3 linked regions of the Saccharomyces cerevisiae S288C genome follow. The gene in region 2 interacts genetically with the main gene of each other region. Each region holds a gene or a part of one and is shown on either strand. Other genes may lie near its edges.

Region 1 (5,602 bases), on a different chromosome or scaffold from region 2:
GGAGCGAATTAACTGAAGAAGATGATGAAGAAAATGTGTTGGCAATTGAAGTAGAACTCTGCGACTGATGTGCCATAAAAATTGATTCTGAAGATAACTCGTAAATCTCCAGTACAGAATCTCTTACGCCATGGTCATAAAGTACGTCATGGAACAATTTTTGAGCTTCCAGCGATTTTCCGATCAACATGCCCAAATTACGATCTAAGCTTCCTATGATCAAGCATAAAGTATCAATTGCTTGTTTTCCTGTAAAGGAATCTCTGTAAAGTAACCCCATCTTTTTATGCGTGCTCAATTTGATGGTCTGTTTGAATTTAATTGCTATTAGTGATAAAAGTGCAGGATAAACCAAAGGCGTGCCTTTGATCATGGATATTTCCGTCAGAGAGACAGGACTTGATTTGGACCTTGAATGATGACGTTGGTGTTGATTAGTATGGCGTCGATATTGACTAGAATGATTGGAAGAGTTTGATGAGCGTCTATTTTGGGTTTTCAGTGACTCTAATGCAAATAAAGAAGAGGTGCTAGAAGAACTATGTTTTCCATTGAATGAACTGTGTAACTCCATCGTGTGACCTGCACTTTTGGGAGTTGGAGGCGTAGATAGCTGGTTTGGATCCCCCATATGACTGCCACTGTTTTTGGAAAATGATAATAGTGAAGGAGATGAATGTTTTCTTACGTGAGGAAGCAAAACATTCGATCTTTTTTGAGAAGGTGATGAAGTGGTAGTGCAACTGTTACCTTTATCTTGTCTGGTCGAATCATTTATTGAAATTTTTTTATTAGTAGGTGAAATCTGATCGCCTGTGAAGGATTGTGGACTTGAATTAAGGTTTGTTGAAATATGTAGGACAGGAGATGCCTTTAATTGGTGGGAAGAACAGTCCGGTGCTATCCTATACCGTGCACCGGTGTCGTGCCCTAGTGTATAATCCTTCAATGAAGCCTTATTTTCATCTTCAGTACTATCTTCATCCTCATCGTTAGTGATAGAAATTTCATTGATGTTTGTCTGAACTTTGGAGCCGGAGAACAACTGAGTAGGGGTTGAAGTATCTGATTTTCTTTTCTTACCGAATATCTCATAAAAATATTTATTTCTTAGATCCAGTTCATTACTATTCATAACCTAACCAAATTCTTACCAACGACTTGGTTTTATTTATATCATTACTAAATCAACAAAATTTTTGCTTTAAAATTCAAACGTGGCGTTCTTTTTTTTGATTTAGTTTTATTTATTTACTTTTTCATTCAAGAGCAAAGAAAAGTTTAAAATTAACGATTCTCCCTTGGGCCCCTTATGATATGTCTAAATATTGCCGTTTTAGGGCAAAAAAGATGAAGTGCGTTTACTTTCGTATAGAGTTTGTAGATATGACATTGGCAACAAAAAATCATGGGAAATTTAAGAAACATACAAACGTATGCGTGAAAAAAAAATCGACACTAGACGCACTAGGTGGTGCTTAATTGGAGTACTGGAGCGCTCCTTTAGATACAAGATGACAATTTATTGAAGATCGAGTAGGGGACGGATTACTCCCACATTAAACAGCAGGTCTTTCTTATTATAAGGAATACAAAAACAATTGAAGTAAAATGTTAGATCTAAAAATGTTTCTTTGTCTTGCTTTGTATGTATGTAATAATATACTCCTGAATACTTCACTTCGTCTTTTACAATTCTAAAAAGGCAGTTTCTTCGAAAACTGAAAAAAAAAAAAAAAAAAAAAAAAAAAAAAGAAATAGAAGGAAAATGAAACAGATGATTAGGATGAGTATAAGATGGCAAAAGTAAAAAATATCTTGTACAGCTCTCGGCGAGAATAGGGTGAAGCAAGACCATGTTTTCACTTAGTTCGCTATCTAGCAGCGGTGGGCATTCAGAGCAGAAGGAAAGAGAGAGAATAAGTTATTTTGATATTAGAATAAACTCCCCGTACAAGGACATAATTTTGATCCAAGGGTCACCGTTGGAACTGTCGTCTATACCTTTATCAGGAAACTTAGTGATTTCAGTGAAAAATGAGATCGTAGTGAAGAAAATTTCGCTGAGATTGGTAGGAAGATTCAAATTGGAGTTTTTGCAAGTTGGCCGATATAAGAAGAATAGCAGTAGTTTGGCAAGTCTAGTTAAGGAAAAGCGTAAGATTTTCGAATGCTATTGGGACAACTTATTGGTTTCTTCAAAAGGGGATGTTTTAGTCGGTGGGGAAAATGCGGAAAATCAACATAACAGTAGTAGCGGTCGCAGTACAAGCAACCAAGATATGGACACCAGCGGCAACGCAATATTTCTAAGCAAGAGATCACTTTCGAGCCCTGTTTTCAACAAAATAATTCGAAGAAAGACCCATTCTTCCCACAGAAAAATACTAGAGCTACCAGAAAATGGTGTTACAGGAACCCCTTTCGAGGGTTTAAGAGAAAACGCCCGTAGTAGAAGCAGTAGTAGTAACACCCTCAATAACAATAGCCATAGTTATAGTAACAGAGACGGGTCTGGAAGTTCGTACTTATTCCTAATGAAAAGAGGCAACTACGAACTACCCTTCAATACAATGCTCCCCCCAGAAGTGTGCGAAACAATCGAGGGACTACAAAGTGGTAGCATACTGTATTCCTTTGAAGCCATTATAGATGGACGTCAGTTATGGGATACTGATCTGAGCGTTCATACTTCTCCTCACGGTCCAATCGGTAGCACAAGTACGAGCGGCAATGGTATGAGAACGAAGAATAAAATTATCATCAAAAAGTTCAAGTATCTCAGAATCCTTCGTACATTATCGATGGACAATCTTGCCATGCAAGAAGAAATTAGCGTGGGTAATACTTGGCGTGACAAGTTGCAATACGAAACGTCCATCCCGAGTAGGGCTGTTCCTATTGGTAGCACAACCCCCGTGAAGATTAAGATTTTCCCCTTCGAAAAGAACATTCGTTTGGATAGGATAGAAATGGCGCTAATCCAATATTACGCAATGAAGGACAGCAGCGCACAAATTTATGATGATGAAATAGCCGTCATGAAAATTACTCATCTAGCGGACTTCGGCCCGCTGACGGACAAACTTGACGTCGATTGTCCCTTTACAATTCCAGATAACCTCAAACAAATAACTCAAGACTGCTGTCTGCAAGACAACCTAATCCGTGTCATGCACAAATTGCAGGTACGTATTCTTTTACAACGTCAAGTGGATGGCGAATACAAGAACCTGGAGATCAAGGCGCAATTACCTATGTTATTATTTATTTCGCCGCATCTGCCTATGAAAGGCCGTCTAGTGTTGTTTGATAAACACGATGGCAAGATCCACTTCCGCCCTGGCGAATTAGTACCCCTTTTTTTAACCACTTACCCCGCGCAGGGTCTGACTCCAGGCGTTGAACTGAACTCCACTACAACGGCGCACCTCGCGCTGCCACAACCGCCACCGAATTATCACGAGAGCACCAACGATCATCTCATGCCGGCGCTACAGCCGCTCGGCGCCGATTCGGTGGTACTGACAGTGCCGTCATACGAGCAGGCGCAGGCGCAGGCATCGGCATCGTCTTACGTGACAGGGTCCGTACCCGCTTACTGCGACGATGACTGATCCCCGCTCTCGGCGCCCCGAGTCGGCTACCCCGCGTTGGCAATCCCCTCCGATCGTCCGCGGCAAAATGGTCGTCAATCGGACAAAGGGGGATGATGGGATCTGGTAATAGAAGAAAATATGGACTAAAGGTAGCCGCTAAAGCGATCCAGGCATGTGTTGCCAATGATGTAAGTCAAGCGAAGGAAATGGTTCAGTAATATGATAGACAGACTGCACTTCAAGGGTGCGCCCCCTCCCCCGCGCATATGCTTACAACGCAAAATAATTGACGTTTAATGTGGATACTTATCGTAATCGCTGCATTATAGATTTCGAGTCATGTTCACTTAACCCCACATATTTATATAGAACGCATCTTCAAAGTACTTATAAAGTTTAGTTTTACATTTTTCTGCTTTCTATTTCTTCTTTTTCGGTTCTTCTTCATGCCAGTTGGCATGGCTTAAGAGCTTTACTTGTCGCTTTTATTTAAAACCTTCTCTCGGGAGAAGACAATTGTTGATATACAGTAATTGTATTTGCATTATCACTGCTATGGCTGCGGGTCAAAAAAAATATATATGTTCCTTTTGTTTGAAGCCTTTCTCGAGATCCGAGCACAAGATAAGGCATGAAAGGTCTCATGCGGGCGTGAAGCCTTTCCAGTGCCAAGTCTGTAAACACTCTTTTGTTAGACGCGATCTCTTACAGCGACACATCAGGACTGTCCACAGAACCTTCCTCTTATCCAGTTACGCGTCAATGACAGGCGATAAGGCTGATATCCCTGTATCACTTGGCGTTGGTGACGTTGATTCGACTTCACCCAGAGATATCAAAATGGAAACACTCGTTAATTCGATGATTAAGGTCAACAGCGGCCTTATCAATATTCACTATCATAGTAGTAATGTTGAAAAAATGGATAAGCAGCAACGTTGTGTGATTGGGAAGGAGTCCTCTAGTTTAAAGAAAGGGAAAAGCCGCTTTAAGCAGGTTAAAAGCCGGTTGGAGTCCTCCATCAGTGTAAAAATTTTGCAAGAATATTCATTAGATTTTATTAGCTCAAGAGATATTCTAACTTTCTTCAGAATGGGTGTAAGCCACTTGGTAGAAAATAAGATCTTCCAAAATTTCTTTCCAGACCTGTTCTCATCACTACAAAATGACGAGCTGGTGGAAAGTTTTTGGATTAACAAGCCTTTTGGTCTCATAATAGCTTGTCTGGGTATGTCCATTTCGTTAAATCAAGATTCTCAAAAACTATGGTTTATCTGTTGTACGAATTTGTATGCTAGCTCATCTAAACATGACAATGACTTTGACACTGAGGACATTTTGTCACAGACAGAGCAACATGATGTTTTTGCCTTGATTCTATTTTATTCTCTTCTAGTAATGTTGGAGAATAACATTCCTGTTTCTAATTCCATTAAAAAGTTCGATGTGTTTTCAATGCTTCAAGATATTCTGAAGCCATTCACCGTGGCATCCTCCAGTTACCATTATTTGAATAGTAAGGAAAATGCATGGTTCATATTCGATCTATGGGTCAATATCTTGCGCGATTCAAACAACTTCAACAACGATTCTTTACTAATATTTGGTTGGTTCGTCAATCAAGAGTTTATTTCGTCTAATCCACTTAAGGACTTCATATACAAGGGACCGTCAATGTCCACTACTGACTTAACTTTAAAGCATATCAATATTTTGGCAGATTCCGCGTACGTGTATTTTATAATAAAGAAGACTTATCCGCAAGAGCTGCCATCTGATTTTAGAGTGCATGATTTGCTGGTTTACTTGAATGAATGTTTCGTAATGCAGCAGCCGATCAAACCTGAAACTAGTGCAAACCCCTCTTTATTTGCGAACGTTATGAACGCCAGGATTACGGACTGCAAATCGAAAAGTAACTGGTTATTGTGGGAAACGATTTGGTTCGAATTCATCAACAACTTGACTTTGAGAAATGGGACCACAAGGAACATATGGTTCAT
Region 2 (6,818 bases):
CGGGAAACACAATAACTGGCAAGATAGTTTCAGTGAATAATTACGAAAGAGAGGGCACTGATCGCAACGAATTGGCGCGATTGCAAGAATTGATCTCCCTCATCGATGTCATAAATCAGTAAATATAAACATTAAATACATTACACGTAGCCACCCGCTGTATAGCATAAAACTAACTTAAAATTATTCATATGCGTTTCCCGGGGCCGAAGCGTTATTGCCGATATTCGGTAGCCGATTCCGCTGGCTTTTTTTTTTTGAACGAGGCAAAAAAGTTTCGTGACTGAACTTCTTCGTCACTGGTTTTGTTGATAATTTTTATCGTTTTTTACTTCGAGATTGAAAACAGTGTTCTGAATTTTAGCAACGATATCGCACCGCACGTTTAGCCTGATCAAACCTTATATATACCTCTACCTTAAAATATATATATATATAGTATTCGAATTCCGAATTGTGTGTCTCCGCGGTTAGTGATTGTTATACACAAACAGAATACAGGAAAGTAAATCAATACAATAATAAAATATGACAATCAAGGAACATAAAGTAGTTTATGAAGCTCACAACGTAAAGGCTCTTAAGGCTCCTCAACATTTTTACAACAGCCAACCCGGCAAGGGTTACGTTACTGATATGCAACATTATCAAGAAATGTATCAACAATCTATCAATGAGCCAGAAAAATTCTTTGATAAGATGGCTAAGGAATACTTGCATTGGGATGCTCCATACACCAAAGTTCAATCTGGTTCATTGAACAATGGTGATGTTGCATGGTTTTTGAACGGTAAATTGAATGCATCATACAATTGTGTTGACAGACATGCCTTTGCTAATCCCGACAAGCCAGCTTTGATCTATGAAGCTGATGACGAATCCGACAACAAAATCATCACATTTGGTGAATTACTCAGAAAAGTTTCCCAAATCGCTGGTGTCTTAAAAAGCTGGGGCGTTAAGAAAGGTGACACAGTGGCTATCTATTTGCCAATGATTCCAGAAGCGGTCATTGCTATGTTGGCTGTGGCTCGTATTGGTGCTATTCACTCTGTTGTCTTTGCTGGGTTCTCCGCTGGTTCGTTGAAAGATCGTGTCGTTGACGCTAATTCTAAAGTGGTCATCACTTGTGATGAAGGTAAAAGAGGTGGTAAGACCATCAACACTAAAAAAATTGTTGACGAAGGTTTGAACGGAGTCGATTTGGTTTCCCGTATCTTGGTTTTCCAAAGAACTGGTACTGAAGGTATTCCAATGAAGGCCGGTAGAGATTACTGGTGGCATGAGGAGGCCGCTAAGCAGAGAACTTACCTACCTCCTGTTTCATGTGACGCTGAAGATCCTCTATTTTTATTATACACTTCCGGTTCCACTGGTTCTCCAAAGGGTGTCGTTCACACTACAGGTGGTTATTTATTAGGTGCCGCTTTAACAACTAGATACGTTTTTGATATTCACCCAGAAGATGTTCTCTTCACTGCCGGTGACGTCGGCTGGATCACGGGTCACACCTATGCTCTATATGGTCCATTAACCTTGGGTACCGCCTCAATAATTTTCGAATCCACTCCTGCCTACCCAGATTATGGTAGATATTGGAGAATTATCCAACGTCACAAGGCTACCCATTTCTATGTGGCTCCAACTGCTTTAAGATTAATCAAACGTGTAGGTGAAGCCGAAATTGCCAAATATGACACTTCCTCATTACGTGTCTTGGGTTCCGTCGGTGAACCAATCTCTCCAGACTTATGGGAATGGTATCATGAAAAAGTGGGTAACAAAAACTGTGTCATTTGTGACACTATGTGGCAAACAGAGTCTGGTTCTCATTTAATTGCTCCTTTGGCAGGTGCTGTCCCAACAAAACCTGGTTCTGCTACCGTGCCATTCTTTGGTATTAACGCTTGTATCATTGACCCTGTTACAGGTGTGGAATTAGAAGGTAATGATGTCGAAGGTGTCCTTGCCGTTAAATCACCATGGCCATCAATGGCTAGATCTGTTTGGAACCACCACGACCGTTACATGGATACTTACTTGAAACCTTATCCTGGTCACTATTTCACAGGTGATGGTGCTGGTAGAGATCATGATGGTTACTACTGGATCAGGGGTAGAGTTGACGACGTTGTAAATGTTTCCGGTCATAGATTATCCACATCAGAAATTGAAGCATCTATCTCAAATCACGAAAACGTCTCGGAAGCTGCTGTTGTCGGTATTCCAGATGAATTGACCGGTCAAACCGTCGTTGCATATGTTTCCCTAAAAGATGGTTATCTACAAAACAACGCTACTGAAGGTGATGCAGAACACATCACACCAGATAATTTACGTAGAGAATTGATCTTACAAGTTAGGGGTGAGATTGGTCCTTTCGCCTCACCAAAAACCATTATTCTAGTTAGAGATCTACCAAGAACAAGGTCAGGAAAGATTATGAGAAGAGTTCTAAGAAAGGTTGCTTCTAACGAAGCCGAACAGCTAGGTGACCTAACTACTTTGGCCAACCCAGAAGTTGTACCTGCCATCATTTCTGCTGTAGAGAACCAATTTTTCTCTCAAAAAAAGAAATAACTTAAATGAGAAAAATTTCGTAATGAGATAAAATTTCGCTCCTTTTCTGTTTTCTATTTTCTATTTTCCCAACTTTTGCTCTATTCAGTTATAAATTACTATTTATCCATCAGTTAAAAAACAAGATCTTTTACTGGTCAGCTAGGAAAGCGAAAATACAAAGACTTTATGCACTTAGTGATATATATGTATAGATATATCCATTTTTACGCACTTATCATATATCTTAGTTATCTAAATACAATCTAGTTATTCGTACACAATCGCCCCTGTTATCCCTATAGTGGGAATAAAGTAATGCACTGTGACGGGGTTCTTCGCCCGGGATAGGGTAAAAGGATATTGCCGTTTCAAGAAACTTCGGGGATAATCGAATAAGATACCGAGAAAGCTATTGTTCGTTGTGCACGTAGGATGTATATTGAACAAGCATGACCAGAATCTGATGCATTACGAGAAGGTTACGGGATGATATCAGACCTCCGAAGTCCATGTTGCAAAATGTGCCGACTTTCCGCGGCGCTATTTGGCACAAATTTCAGGAGAAACATCACTGTCGGTGTTATAGAATTCCATCTATATTGTTTTCCCCGTAGGCATACGTCGAGGAACTACTATATCTTTTTTCACCTTTTGTATATCTGTATTTTTGGGTCAATGTCTGGTACATAAGGTGAGTCATATTTACATCAAAGTGTGTAACGTATAAGAGGTAAAACAAGTTACAGTACTCATATAGTATTTCTTCTATCGGTAATTCTACATGTGTCTGATCAAGGTCTATCATTTTTATATGGTGGAAACGATTTTCTAGTACTACAATAAATGAACCAAGATGTCCCTTTCTCTGGGTGCCGCTATTTACATTGCATTAAAACCTATATTTAAAATTTACACCATTATGCTTGTTGGCTATTTGGTAGCTAAGTTCGATATTGTTTCCATGGAAAATGCGAAAGGTATATCAAATATGGTTGTTAACGCTATTTTGCCTTGTTTGACCTTCAACAAAATTGTGTCCAATATTTCATGGAGGGATATAAAGGAGATTGGAGTGATAATACTTTCAGCTTTTATCTTGTTTGTTTTAGGTGCCACGGGCGCCTTATTTACTACATTTGCTACGACTGTGCCCAAAAAATTCTTCTGGGGGCTCATATTTGCGGGTTTCTTTCCAAATATATCAGATTTACCTATTGCCTATATTCAGAGCATGGGTAACGGCTCCATTTTTACTGCTGAAGAAGCTGATAAAGGTGTTGCTTATTCCTGCATTTTTTTATTTATTCAAAGTTTCCTAATGATGAATTTTGGAATGTGGAGAGTGGTCGGACTTGATTTTAGAGATACAAAAGAACCAGATAGTGAGAATATTACTCCGTCAGTAAGTCCCGCTATCGACGATCGCAAACTTACTGAAATAACAAAGTTACCTAATATCACACGTCCTACAAATGCCTATCAATCGGAAGATGCGAGAAGTAATAGCGATTTGTCTTGTAACTCTATTACTACAAATGAAATGACACCGCAGGCATTCTACGAAGGTTTTACTGGCTACATCAAACCCTATAAAGAATCAAATGGTGCATCCCATAAATTTGAAAGTGACCTTCCGCATGCTGAAATATATAGGGTTTCCTCGACTTATTCAAGCCCAGGCGCATTGGAGTTCTCGCGAATAGATGGCAGTTCCCTCTCATATAGTCGTATATCAAAAAATAGCGATGGCAGAAGTTATAGAAGAAAAAGGAAAGCGGATATGAATGAGTTGATTTCCAAATACAGTGCCGCCGAAAAAATAAGGCAAGGTGAATTAGATTTATCAAGACCACTATCCTTGACTGAAGAAGTTGGAAGCAGGAACGCAAGTATTGGTAATGTGCACACTGGTTATACCGATGAAAGTTCCATCGAAGAAGAAAATTGCACTAATATGGCCACCGACGGGAGGGGTAGCCTCTCCTTCTTTATAGAGAGACACAATCTCAAATGGTTGCAGTACTTTATTATAAATTGCCTCAGGCCAGCATCTCTGGGGGCAATACTAGGAATAATATGTGCATTAATTCCCTGGGTTAAAGCATGCTTCGTAACGACATATGTTCACGTTCATAAGGCGCCTGATGGAGAACCTGTTCTGAATTTTTTAATGGATTTTACAGAGTATATTGGAAATGCATGTGTTCCATTGGGGCTTCTATTACTTGGCGGAACGTTGGCAAGATTAGAAATTAAGTCATTGCCACCTGGATTTATTAAATCCGCCTTATTGATGACATGCTTTCGATTAATTGTCATTCCTATTATTGGCGTCCTATGGGTAAATAAACTATATTCGATCGATTGGCTGGATACGGGCATAGGAAAATTTGACATGATATTAACGTGGTCCATGCCGAGTGCTACTGCTCAAGTATATTTCACAGCATTTTATACGCCAGCATGTGGTGATCACATTCAAATGAACTGTTTGTCCGTCTTATTTGTCATGCAGTATGCGATTCTTTTCATCACTGTGGCGTTTGTTGTTACATATACCTTAAAGGTCGATTTAAAAGTTTGATTATATCCCTAGGCGAATAGGTATATACAAGAGTAGCTTATTATCAACTTATATATTCTGTTTTTTCAAAAGTAGCGATGAATTCCAATCGCGTATTTATTCGTTGTATTTATTTTTTGGGGTAGGGTTGTGGGGGGGGATCCGCGTAAGTATATTTATAACAATTCAATAATAATATTGTAGATTTGAAGAGAATCACACATGTAACAGAAAAGCTGTAATGATATTAAGTCAGAGGAGGATGCTGAGTTCAAAGCAACTAATAGAGAACTTGATAAGATACAAATTTCATAAAACACCATATACTCGGAGCTCAATATGGCCTTTCAAAAGAAATTCGGCGGTAATAATACTATTATTCATTGGAATGAAAGGCGAACTACGAGTGCTTTTAACTAAACGTTCAAGAACATTGAGAAGCTTCTCAGGTGATGTTTCATTTCCTGGAGGTAAAGCTGATTATTTTCAAGAAACCTTTGAAAGCGTAGCCAGAAGAGAAGCTGAAGAGGAGATTGGGTTACCGCATGATCCTGAGGTCTTGCATAAGGAGTTCGGAATGAAATTAGACAATTTGGTCATGGATATGCCATGCTATTTATCAAGAACATTTTTAAGTGTTAAGCCAATGGTCTGTTTTCTTTACAAAGATAAATTAGAAAAACATGAGGATAAATACAAAGTTCCCTTAGATATCCGTAAGTTTTTTGGTAAGCTGAACCCTGGAGAAACATCTTCTTTGTTTTCTGTACCACTCAATGACTTAGTTATACATCTTCTTCCTGAAGCCGATGAGGATGTTAAGAGTTATCAAGCAGAATATTTTGAGCGGAAGGAGTATAAGCTTAATTGGGGTGGAATAAAATGGTTGATTATGCATTATCATTTTCACGTAGCAAATAATAACGAAATGCCATGGTTGCAAACCATAGAGGATTTATCAAGTTCAGACGAAGACGGTGTTGATGGAGGTATTTTCAGATTCAGGGATTTGTGGGGACTCACATGTAAAATATTATTCGACGTTTCATGTATAGCTAATGGACTAATGGACGAAAAGTTAAAAGGAGAACTAGGGCACGAAGATTTGATAGTTGGACTACATGACTATGGTAATCAGATGCAACCGAACGGAAGAAGTGAATGGGAGATAGGAATGATCAACGGCGACAGAAACTTAAAATATAGCGATGTGATACCTGAATACTACATGAAGCACCTGCTGGAGTGCCGCTCGCTTTGGTAAAAAAAACTGTGGTATAATGCGTTGCCTAACAATACTCTCAAGAGATAATCAAGATGAGAGAAAAAGAATCATACTGGATGTCCTTAATCGATAACAAAAAGTTTTTAATGAAGAATGACTAATGATGAAATTGTTATACAAATACAAACAAACTACACGCTTGCACATCTCAGAAGTGAAAAAAAAAAAAAGAAAATTGAAAAGTAAATTAAAAGTCATTTATTTTTTATTGCTTAAATAAAACAAAATGATATGTCATATTCTCGATTGGATGTCAACCCAATTTTATTCTTTGGTTTGCCAGCATGATCATCTTCACTTGCAAATTATATAGTAAATAACCAATTAAAATAATAATAGTAATAGAAACAGAAAGTAGAACACTGTTATTGGATTCTTTCAGTTGGAATTATTCATATATAAGGCTTA
Region 3 (7,879 bases), on a different chromosome or scaffold from region 2:
ACGGTTTGACCTAAGGAGGTAATACTGATACCCGCGCTTTGTAAAGCAGCGATGATTTCAGGTTCCAGTCTAGAAGAGTACCAAGGCACTTGAACCATGGCAGTGGTGATTTGAGCAAAGTCCATTTCGGTGAAATAACTGGTGTAGGAATCATCAGTAGCAGTGGTCATATGTTGGTAAACATCCAAAACACCAGATGGTAGGGTAAAGTCTGGATTATTCATTGCCAAGGACATATATTGTTCCAAATTGGCCTTGACATCAGCCAAAATAGCGTCAAATTCGACGATTTCATATTGTCCAACTTCAGCAGAAACCAATTGAGTGGAGGCAGCGGCAACAGCTAATAAGGCAGCGATTTTAGTGAAAGACATTGTTGTGTGTGGGCGGTTGAACAATTGGATCTGGGGAACACTAAAAAGAAAAAATCAAACAACCAGCAAGAAAATCTGCAGTAGAGAAAGGAAGAGGAGACGAAACGCTTATACTCTCCACCAAAGAATATATGTATATATATATTCATATGTACGTATACTGCCTTCTCAGACGGAAATCTGCAATCCATTCTAGGGCCTTCTAAAAAAAAGCCTACAGAAATCATGGTAAACAGGAACAATGGGTCGCCTTAAGGCACGCATATCTAAGAAACGTGTGCAGAAGCGGTAGGGTACACGTTCCTATCGTTCCATTTGGAGTCTACACACGTTTCCAACCTCTGCCTTCAGTCACAGTTTCTGAGTAACCTCGCTTACAAAAGAAATTTTTTTTCCCGCAAGGCGAAGTACGCCTCGTATAAGGCCAATGTCTCGTATGGGTGATGTAGGGCAGAAGCCAATGTCTCGTTCAAATGAAATAATGAGCTAATTAGGCTCCAAGTTTTACCACCTATCTGACGATTCTCTCTCTGCGTATAAGAAAAATGTTGAAAAAGCAACATTTTGCGCCAGGAAAAAAGCCCAATCATGGAAGTGGTGCAATACACATTCCAACTTACACACCGAGATTCTCCTGTCGTTATATTTCCACTTTGACGCCCCTTTATGCATCTTACTAATATTAGCTGTTCGAAGTACAGCTTACCTAGGCACATGTACTTTATCTCTCGAATTTTCCTGCTCAGTTTCTCCTACTCAAGTCTCTCCTAGTCTCTAAGGGAAGGCACCGTCTAGGACAGTGCCGGGCATCCTTTATGCAAGGGATATCCCCCCGCAGCCTTCTCCGTCCGTTTTCGTTTAGGCACTTCGCACAGAATTCACCGCAGAGAAGCGCCACATAGACGGCCACTTTTGTTTCCTACAACTTCCACTCTATCGTTTGGGGCCCGTGCCTTCGACTTTTACTCCATTGTGCTGCGGTTTTTGTTTGGCCTCGAACTTTTCCTGTCTGCGGATCTCCTGGTTTGGAAACAAGCTTTCCTCCATAGGCAAAATGGATACTACGGTACGAAGTATTTTCCGCAGATCCTGCTCTCACCTATATAAAACAACATACAACATCGTAAAGCTCTCTGCTCTTTTAGCTATTAATAGTATTATCACACACTTAAACCCTTTTCTCATTAGTTCGTAAACGGGTTGGTAAAAAGAACTTGCATACTGTAGCAAAAAAATTCACAACTAAACACGATAGAGTAAAATTAGAGAAGCAACGCCTCGCGGATGTCTCTTTCCAAATATTTTAATCCAATTCCTGACGCTTCAGTCACCTTTGATGGGGCTACCGTTCAATTGGAAGAATCCCTCGGTGCTGTTCAGAACGATGAAGAGTCCGCATCGGAATTCAAAAACGTAGGCCATTTAGAAATTAGTGATATCACTTTTCGTGCTAATGAAGGTGAAGTCGTCTTAGTACTGGGAAACCCAACATCAGCGCTCTTCAAAGGTCTATTCCATGGTCACAAGCATCTGAAATACTCGCCTGAAGGGTCTATTAGATTCAAAGACAATGAGTACAAACAGTTTGCTTCCAAATGCCCCCATCAGATCATTTATAATAACGAACAAGATATTCACTTCCCGTATCTGACGGTGGAGCAAACCATTGATTTTGCGTTGAGTTGTAAGTTTCACATTCCCAAGCAAGAGCGTATTGAAATGAGAGACGAGTTATTAAAAGAGTTCGGACTGTCGCACGTAAAGAAGACGTATGTGGGTAATGACTACGTTCGTGGTGTTTCTGGAGGTGAAAGGAAACGTATCTCCATTATAGAAACGTTTATTGCCAATGGGTCTGTTTACTTATGGGACAACTCGACGAAGGGTTTGGACTCTGCCACCGCCCTAGAATTTCTTTCCATTACCCAAAAGATGGCAAAAGCTACAAGATCGGTGAATTTTGTTAAAATTTCTCAAGCAAGCGACAAAATTGTCAGCAAGTTTGACAAGATTCTTATGTTAGGTGATTCCTTCCAGGTGTTTTACGGAACCATGGAGGAGTGTTTAACCCATTTTCATGACACCTTACAGATAAAAAAAAACCCTAACGATTGTATTATTGAATATTTAACATCAATCTTAAATTTTAAGTTCAAGGAAACGTCTAATTCCATTGTTGGTCTTGACACTCCATCTGTTGTTTCTGAAGAAAATCAAGCTTTAAACATCAATAATGAAACAGATTTGCATACATTATGGATTCAGTCTCCATACTATAAACACTGGAAGGCCATCACTTCAAAAACAGTGCAAGAATGCACCAGAAAAGATGTTAATCCGGATGATATCTCCCCCATTTTTAGTATTCCGCTAAAGACGCAACTGAAAACGTGCACTGTAAGAGCTTTCGAAAGAATCATTGGTGACAGAAACTACTTGATTTCTCAATTTGTTTCTGTTGTGGTGCAGTCTTTGGTTATTGGGTCCCTTTTTTATAACATTCCCCTGACAACAATTGGTTCGTTTTCTAGAGGATCTTTAACTTTCTTTTCCATCCTATTCTTTACATTTCTTTCTCTCGCCGACATGCCTGCTTCCTTTCAAAGGCAACCCGTCGTTCGTAAACATGTCCAGCTCCATTTTTATTATAATTGGGTGGAAACTTTAGCAACAAATTTTTTCGATTGCTGCTCTAAATTTATACTGGTGGTTATTTTTACAATCATACTTTACTTTTTGGCCCATTTACAGTACAATGCAGCTAGGTTTTTCATCTTTTTGCTTTTCCTTTCCGTCTATAATTTTTGCATGGTGTCACTATTTGCATTAACTGCTTTGATCGCTCCAACTCTATCAATGGCAAACCTATTGGCCGGTATCTTACTGTTAGCCATTGCCATGTACGCGTCCTATGTTATTTATATGAAAGATATGCATCCATGGTTCATATGGATTGCATATTTGAATCCTGCTATGTTTGCCATGGAAGCCATTTTGAGTAACGAATTGTTTAACCTGAAACTAGACTGTCATGAAAGTATTATTCCCAGAGGTGAATATTATGACAATATTTCATTCAGTCATAAAGCTTGTGCCTGGCAAGGCGCTACCCTAGGTAACGATTACGTCAGAGGCCGTGATTATTTAAAAAGTGGATTGAAATACACTTACCATCACGTGTGGAGAAATTTCGGTATTATCATTGGGTTTCTGTGTTTCTTCCTATTTTGCTCTTTACTAGCAGCGGAATATATCACGCCTCTGTTTACTAGAGAAAATTTATTGCGCTGGAATAACTATCTCAAAAGATACTGTCCCTTTCTGAATAGCCAAAAAAAGAATAATAAAAGCGCTATTACCAACAACGATGGCGTATGTACTCCCAAGACCCCGATAGCCAATTTTTCCACTTCATCCTCTTCTGTTCCATCAGTCTCGCATCAATACGATACTGATTACAATATTAAACATCCAGATGAAACTGTTAACAATCATACTAAGGAATCCGTAGCTATGGAAACGCAAAAGCACGTCATCTCCTGGAAAAATATCAATTATACCATTGGAGACAAAAAATTGATCAACGACGCTTCTGGATATATAAGTTCCGGATTAACTGCCCTAATGGGTGAATCTGGTGCTGGTAAGACAACTTTGTTGAATGTCTTGTCTCAAAGGACCGAAAGCGGGGTTGTTACCGGTGAATTATTAATCGATGGACAGCCCTTAACGAATATTGATGCATTCAGAAGAAGTATAGGGTTCGTTCAACAGCAAGATGTTCATTTAGAGCTCTTAACTGTGAGAGAGTCTTTGGAAATTTCCTGCGTCCTAAGAGGTGATGGGGATAGAGACTATTTAGGAGTTGTTAGCAACCTATTAAGATTGCCTTCGGAAAAACTGGTTGCTGATTTATCTCCAACTCAAAGAAAATTATTATCTATTGGTGTTGAATTGGTCACTAAGCCTTCTCTGTTGTTATTCCTAGATGAACCTACTTCAGGGCTAGACGCCGAAGCAGCTTTAACCATCGTGCAATTTCTGAAAAAGCTTTCGATGCAAGGTCAGGCTATCTTATGTACTATTCATCAGCCTAGCAAAAGTGTCATCAGCTATTTTGATAACATCTATTTACTAAAAAGAGGTGGTGAGTGTGTCTATTTTGGTTCATTACCTAATGCCTGTGACTATTTTGTAGCTCACGATAGACGCCTAACATTTGACAGAGAAATGGATAATCCGGCTGATTTCGTTATTGACGTTGTTGGTAGCGGAAGTACAAATATTCCAATGGATGATGCAGAGAAGCCAACCTCAAGCAAAATTGATGAGCCAGTATCTTACCATAAGCAATCTGATTCAATTAACTGGGCAGAACTCTGGCAATCCTCTCCAGAAAAAGTGCGGGTTGCTGATGATTTGCTTTTATTAGAAGAAGAAGCCCGGAAATCTGGTGTTGATTTCACTACGTCCGTATGGAGTCCGCCTTCGTATATGGAACAAATAAAGTTAATCACAAAGAGACAGTACATTTGTACCAAGAGAGACATGACCTATGTTTTCGCTAAATATGCTTTGAATGCTGGCGCTGGACTATTCATTGGATTTTCATTTTGGAGGACAAAGCATAATATCAACGGTCTGCAAGATGCTATTTTCTTGTGCTTCATGATGCTTTGTGTTTCCTCCCCTTTGATCAATCAGGTTCAAGATAAGGCTTTGCAATCTAAAGAAGTATATATCGCCAGGGAAGCGAGATCTAATACTTATCATTGGACCGTTCTTTTGATTGCTCAAACTATTGTTGAATTACCATTAGCCATTTCCAGTTCTACCTTATTTTTCCTGTGTTGCTACTTCTGTTGCGGTTTCGAAACCTCTGCCCGTGTAGCTGGTGTCTTTTACTTGAATTATATTTTATTTTCCATGTATTATTTGTCATTTGGGTTGTGGCTTCTATATTCTGCCCCCGATTTACAAACTGCCGCTGTCTTTGTTGCCTTCCTCTATAGTTTCACAGCTTCATTCTGTGGCGTTATGCAACCATACTCGTTATTCCCAAGATTTTGGACATTCATGTACAGGGTTTCACCATACACGTATTTCATTGAAACTTTCGTAAGCTTACTTCTCCATGACAGAGAAGTAAACTGCTCGACAAGTGAAATGGTACCAAGCCAACCTGTAATGGGTCAAACCTGCGGTCAGTTTATGAAACCCTTTATTGATGAATTTGGTGGGAAACTGCACATCAATAACACATACACCGTCTGCGCCTACTGCATGTACACTGTTGGGGATGACTTCCTTGCTCAAGAAAATATGAGTTATCATCACAGATGGAGAAATTTTGGTTTTGAATGGGTTTTCGTTTGCTTTAACATTGCCGCCATGTTTGTGGGCTTCTACCTAACCTACATCAAAAAAATTTGGCCTTCTGTGATTGATGGTATAAAGAAGTGTATCCCATCAATGAGGCGGTCCAAAACATCTCATAATCCAAACGAACAAAGCGTATAATCAGTGAATAGCGTTCCGTTAGAAAACATTCAAAATTACCTAATACTATTCAACAGTTCTTGTTCCTCATCCGGCTGCCTTCTGCTTTAAACTAATTGTTAATTTATTCCCAAATCATATTCTAAATTAATCTATAATCATTTTTCGGATTATATATGCTCCATACTTAATAAATATTAATACTCTCATTTCCTTTTCACTTTTTTTTTTCTCAATTAGCATTCCAGGTTCGAGAAATATCATTGATATATCGTAATTCCTTTTCAGTAAACGTGATTAGACGACCTTCGTCAAGTTCAGAGTTTGTGTGTCCGTCACCCGTAGCATATGCACAATACATATAATTAGAACATTCCTTGATTTGCATCCATGGATGAACAGAAACGTCAGGAACGATTAGTCCCTCTACGTTCAACGAAGCATCATATATCCTTTTTAATTTTGAAATGTCCCCATATCTACTCTTAAAATACTCTGGCTCTCTTCCAAAGTCATCTTCAGCACTGTTCGAAATTTTACAAGTCTTCAGTCCACCGTTTACCCATAGTAATCGATTTTTGGAGTCACTGTGTGCAATCTGCGTAGAACAAATGTAGTACATCCCGCTTTTATGTCCGTCATCATTTTCAGGCTCTTCATTAACAGGTCCAATAATACTGCCATCAACGGGATTGATAGAATAATCCTGGCCAGCATATAATTGCCCCAACCAGAATATTTCCTTGTCACCATACACACACCTCTGCAATTTTCCATCCAAATTTAACATAAAAGACATCAACAATCCATTTAATTTCTCAAGTTTATTGACTACAACCAAACCACTATCAACATGATGGAGTCGTAATTTTTTGAAAAAATTGTAATACACAGATGCTTCTTCTGAGGTTTCGGAAGAAAACGGTAATGACGAATCAAAAACTAACCTACTTCCAATAAATCTGCGTTCTTGTGCAGAGGGTTCCACTTCATTTAACATTTCGATGCAGTATTGGAAAGTTTGCTCGTTTTCCATAACCCTATCCTTGAACAAAAGTATCCCGCTCTCCCTGTAAGAAGGAGAGTCGAAAAAGTAATCAGACCCTACAAACGGTACTACGTCTGCATCCAACAAAATGTATTCTTCAAATGTGTTGAACAAAGTGGCGACCCATTTATTCTGAAAAAAAGAAATGTATGTATTAGCAAAATTAGTGTCAAGCACTGTCGAGCAGTCTACTAAGTAGACCCTTTGTTCCGTTTCTTTAGCGGTCTCAGAAATTTTAGCAATAGACTCTGCTGATAGTTCATTTCCCGTGGATACTATTTGGAATGGTAATTCGTTTTTTGAAAATTCCATCACTTTCAACTGTTTCAAAAATAAAGGAACATCCTTTTCAGCAATAGTTAAAACAAAACCTCTTCCTTTGCTCAACCTATTCCAGTTGGACCAAAAGTTACCATTAAAGTTTGATGATTCCATATCAACCTCGGGTGCCGGAACTGCCTCTCCAGTTGTCATGTCTGTGATAATAGGCCACATTACAGTTTTGGATTCCTCGTTAATTTTCTTCAGAAATGGAAACATTCTGTTTTGCAAATCATGAGGATTTACGGTTGAATTTGCAAATATTGCAGTAGGATCTAATTGACCAGATAAAAAGCAATAATCATAAGATCTTAATCTTTCCCCTAACAATGAGGCCAACGTGTTATCTACACCATCAACATTATAAAATTTTGCAGTTTGCGCATTGTCCCAGTCGGGATCAATCTTGTATAGTACTTCAAAAATGTAACGGCACTTGTCACTCTTCGCTATTTCATTATTTCCTAATTGCCTCAACAATACACGTTCTTTGTGAGAACTTCTACTCAAAAAGGGCAAAAAGTAGGCAGATAATCTGTTCATTAAGTTTTCGGATCTCACTTGGTGTTGTCGTTTTTCAATCCAATTGAATGCAGATGATTCAACAGCTGTCCTCTCGCTTGCATGGTTGTTTAAT

The links. Genes that interact genetically often act in the same process or in processes that back each other up.
Region 1: mutations in YLR152C (region 2) and ART5 together harm fitness more than expected from each alone (negative genetic interaction), as found in Saccharomyces cerevisiae (2 studies listed by BioGRID).
Region 3: mutations in YLR152C (region 2) and PDR11 together harm fitness more than expected from each alone (negative genetic interaction), as found in Saccharomyces cerevisiae (2 studies listed by BioGRID).

Annotation. Positions count from the first base shown.
Region 1 is NC_001139.9:623,339-628,940, reverse strand, and holds ART5 (Art5p), read left to right. Parts: upstream 1-1,856; coding exon 1,857-3,617; downstream 3,618-5,602. Other genes in the region: Rho family guanine nucleotide exchange factor ROM1, read right to left, coding at 1-1,135; YGR067C (uncharacterized protein), read left to right, coding at 4,155-5,602. UniProt on the Saccharomyces cerevisiae protein: May regulate endocytosis by recruiting RSP5 ubiquitin ligase activity to specific plasma membrane proteins in response to extracellular stimuli.
Region 2 is NC_001144.5:441,286-448,103, reverse strand, and holds YLR152C (uncharacterized protein), read left to right. Parts: upstream 1-3,415; coding exon 3,416-5,146; downstream 5,147-6,818. Other genes in the region: RNH203 (Rnh203p), read left to right, coding at 1-122; acetate--CoA ligase ACS2, read left to right, coding at 529-2,580; PCD1 (8-oxo-dGTP diphosphatase), read left to right, coding at 5,367-6,389; STM1 (Stm1p), read right to left, coding at 6,816-6,818.
Region 3 is NC_001141.2:326,222-334,100, reverse strand, and holds PDR11 (ATP-binding cassette multidrug transporter PDR11), read left to right. Parts: upstream 1-1,658; coding exon 1,659-5,894; downstream 5,895-7,879. Other genes in the region: TIR3 (Tir3p), read right to left, coding at 1-374; YIL012W (uncharacterized protein), read right to left, coding at 749-1,090; alpha-1,3-mannosyltransferase MNT3, read right to left, coding at 6,106-7,879. UniProt on the Saccharomyces cerevisiae protein: Transporter involved in the uptake of sterol.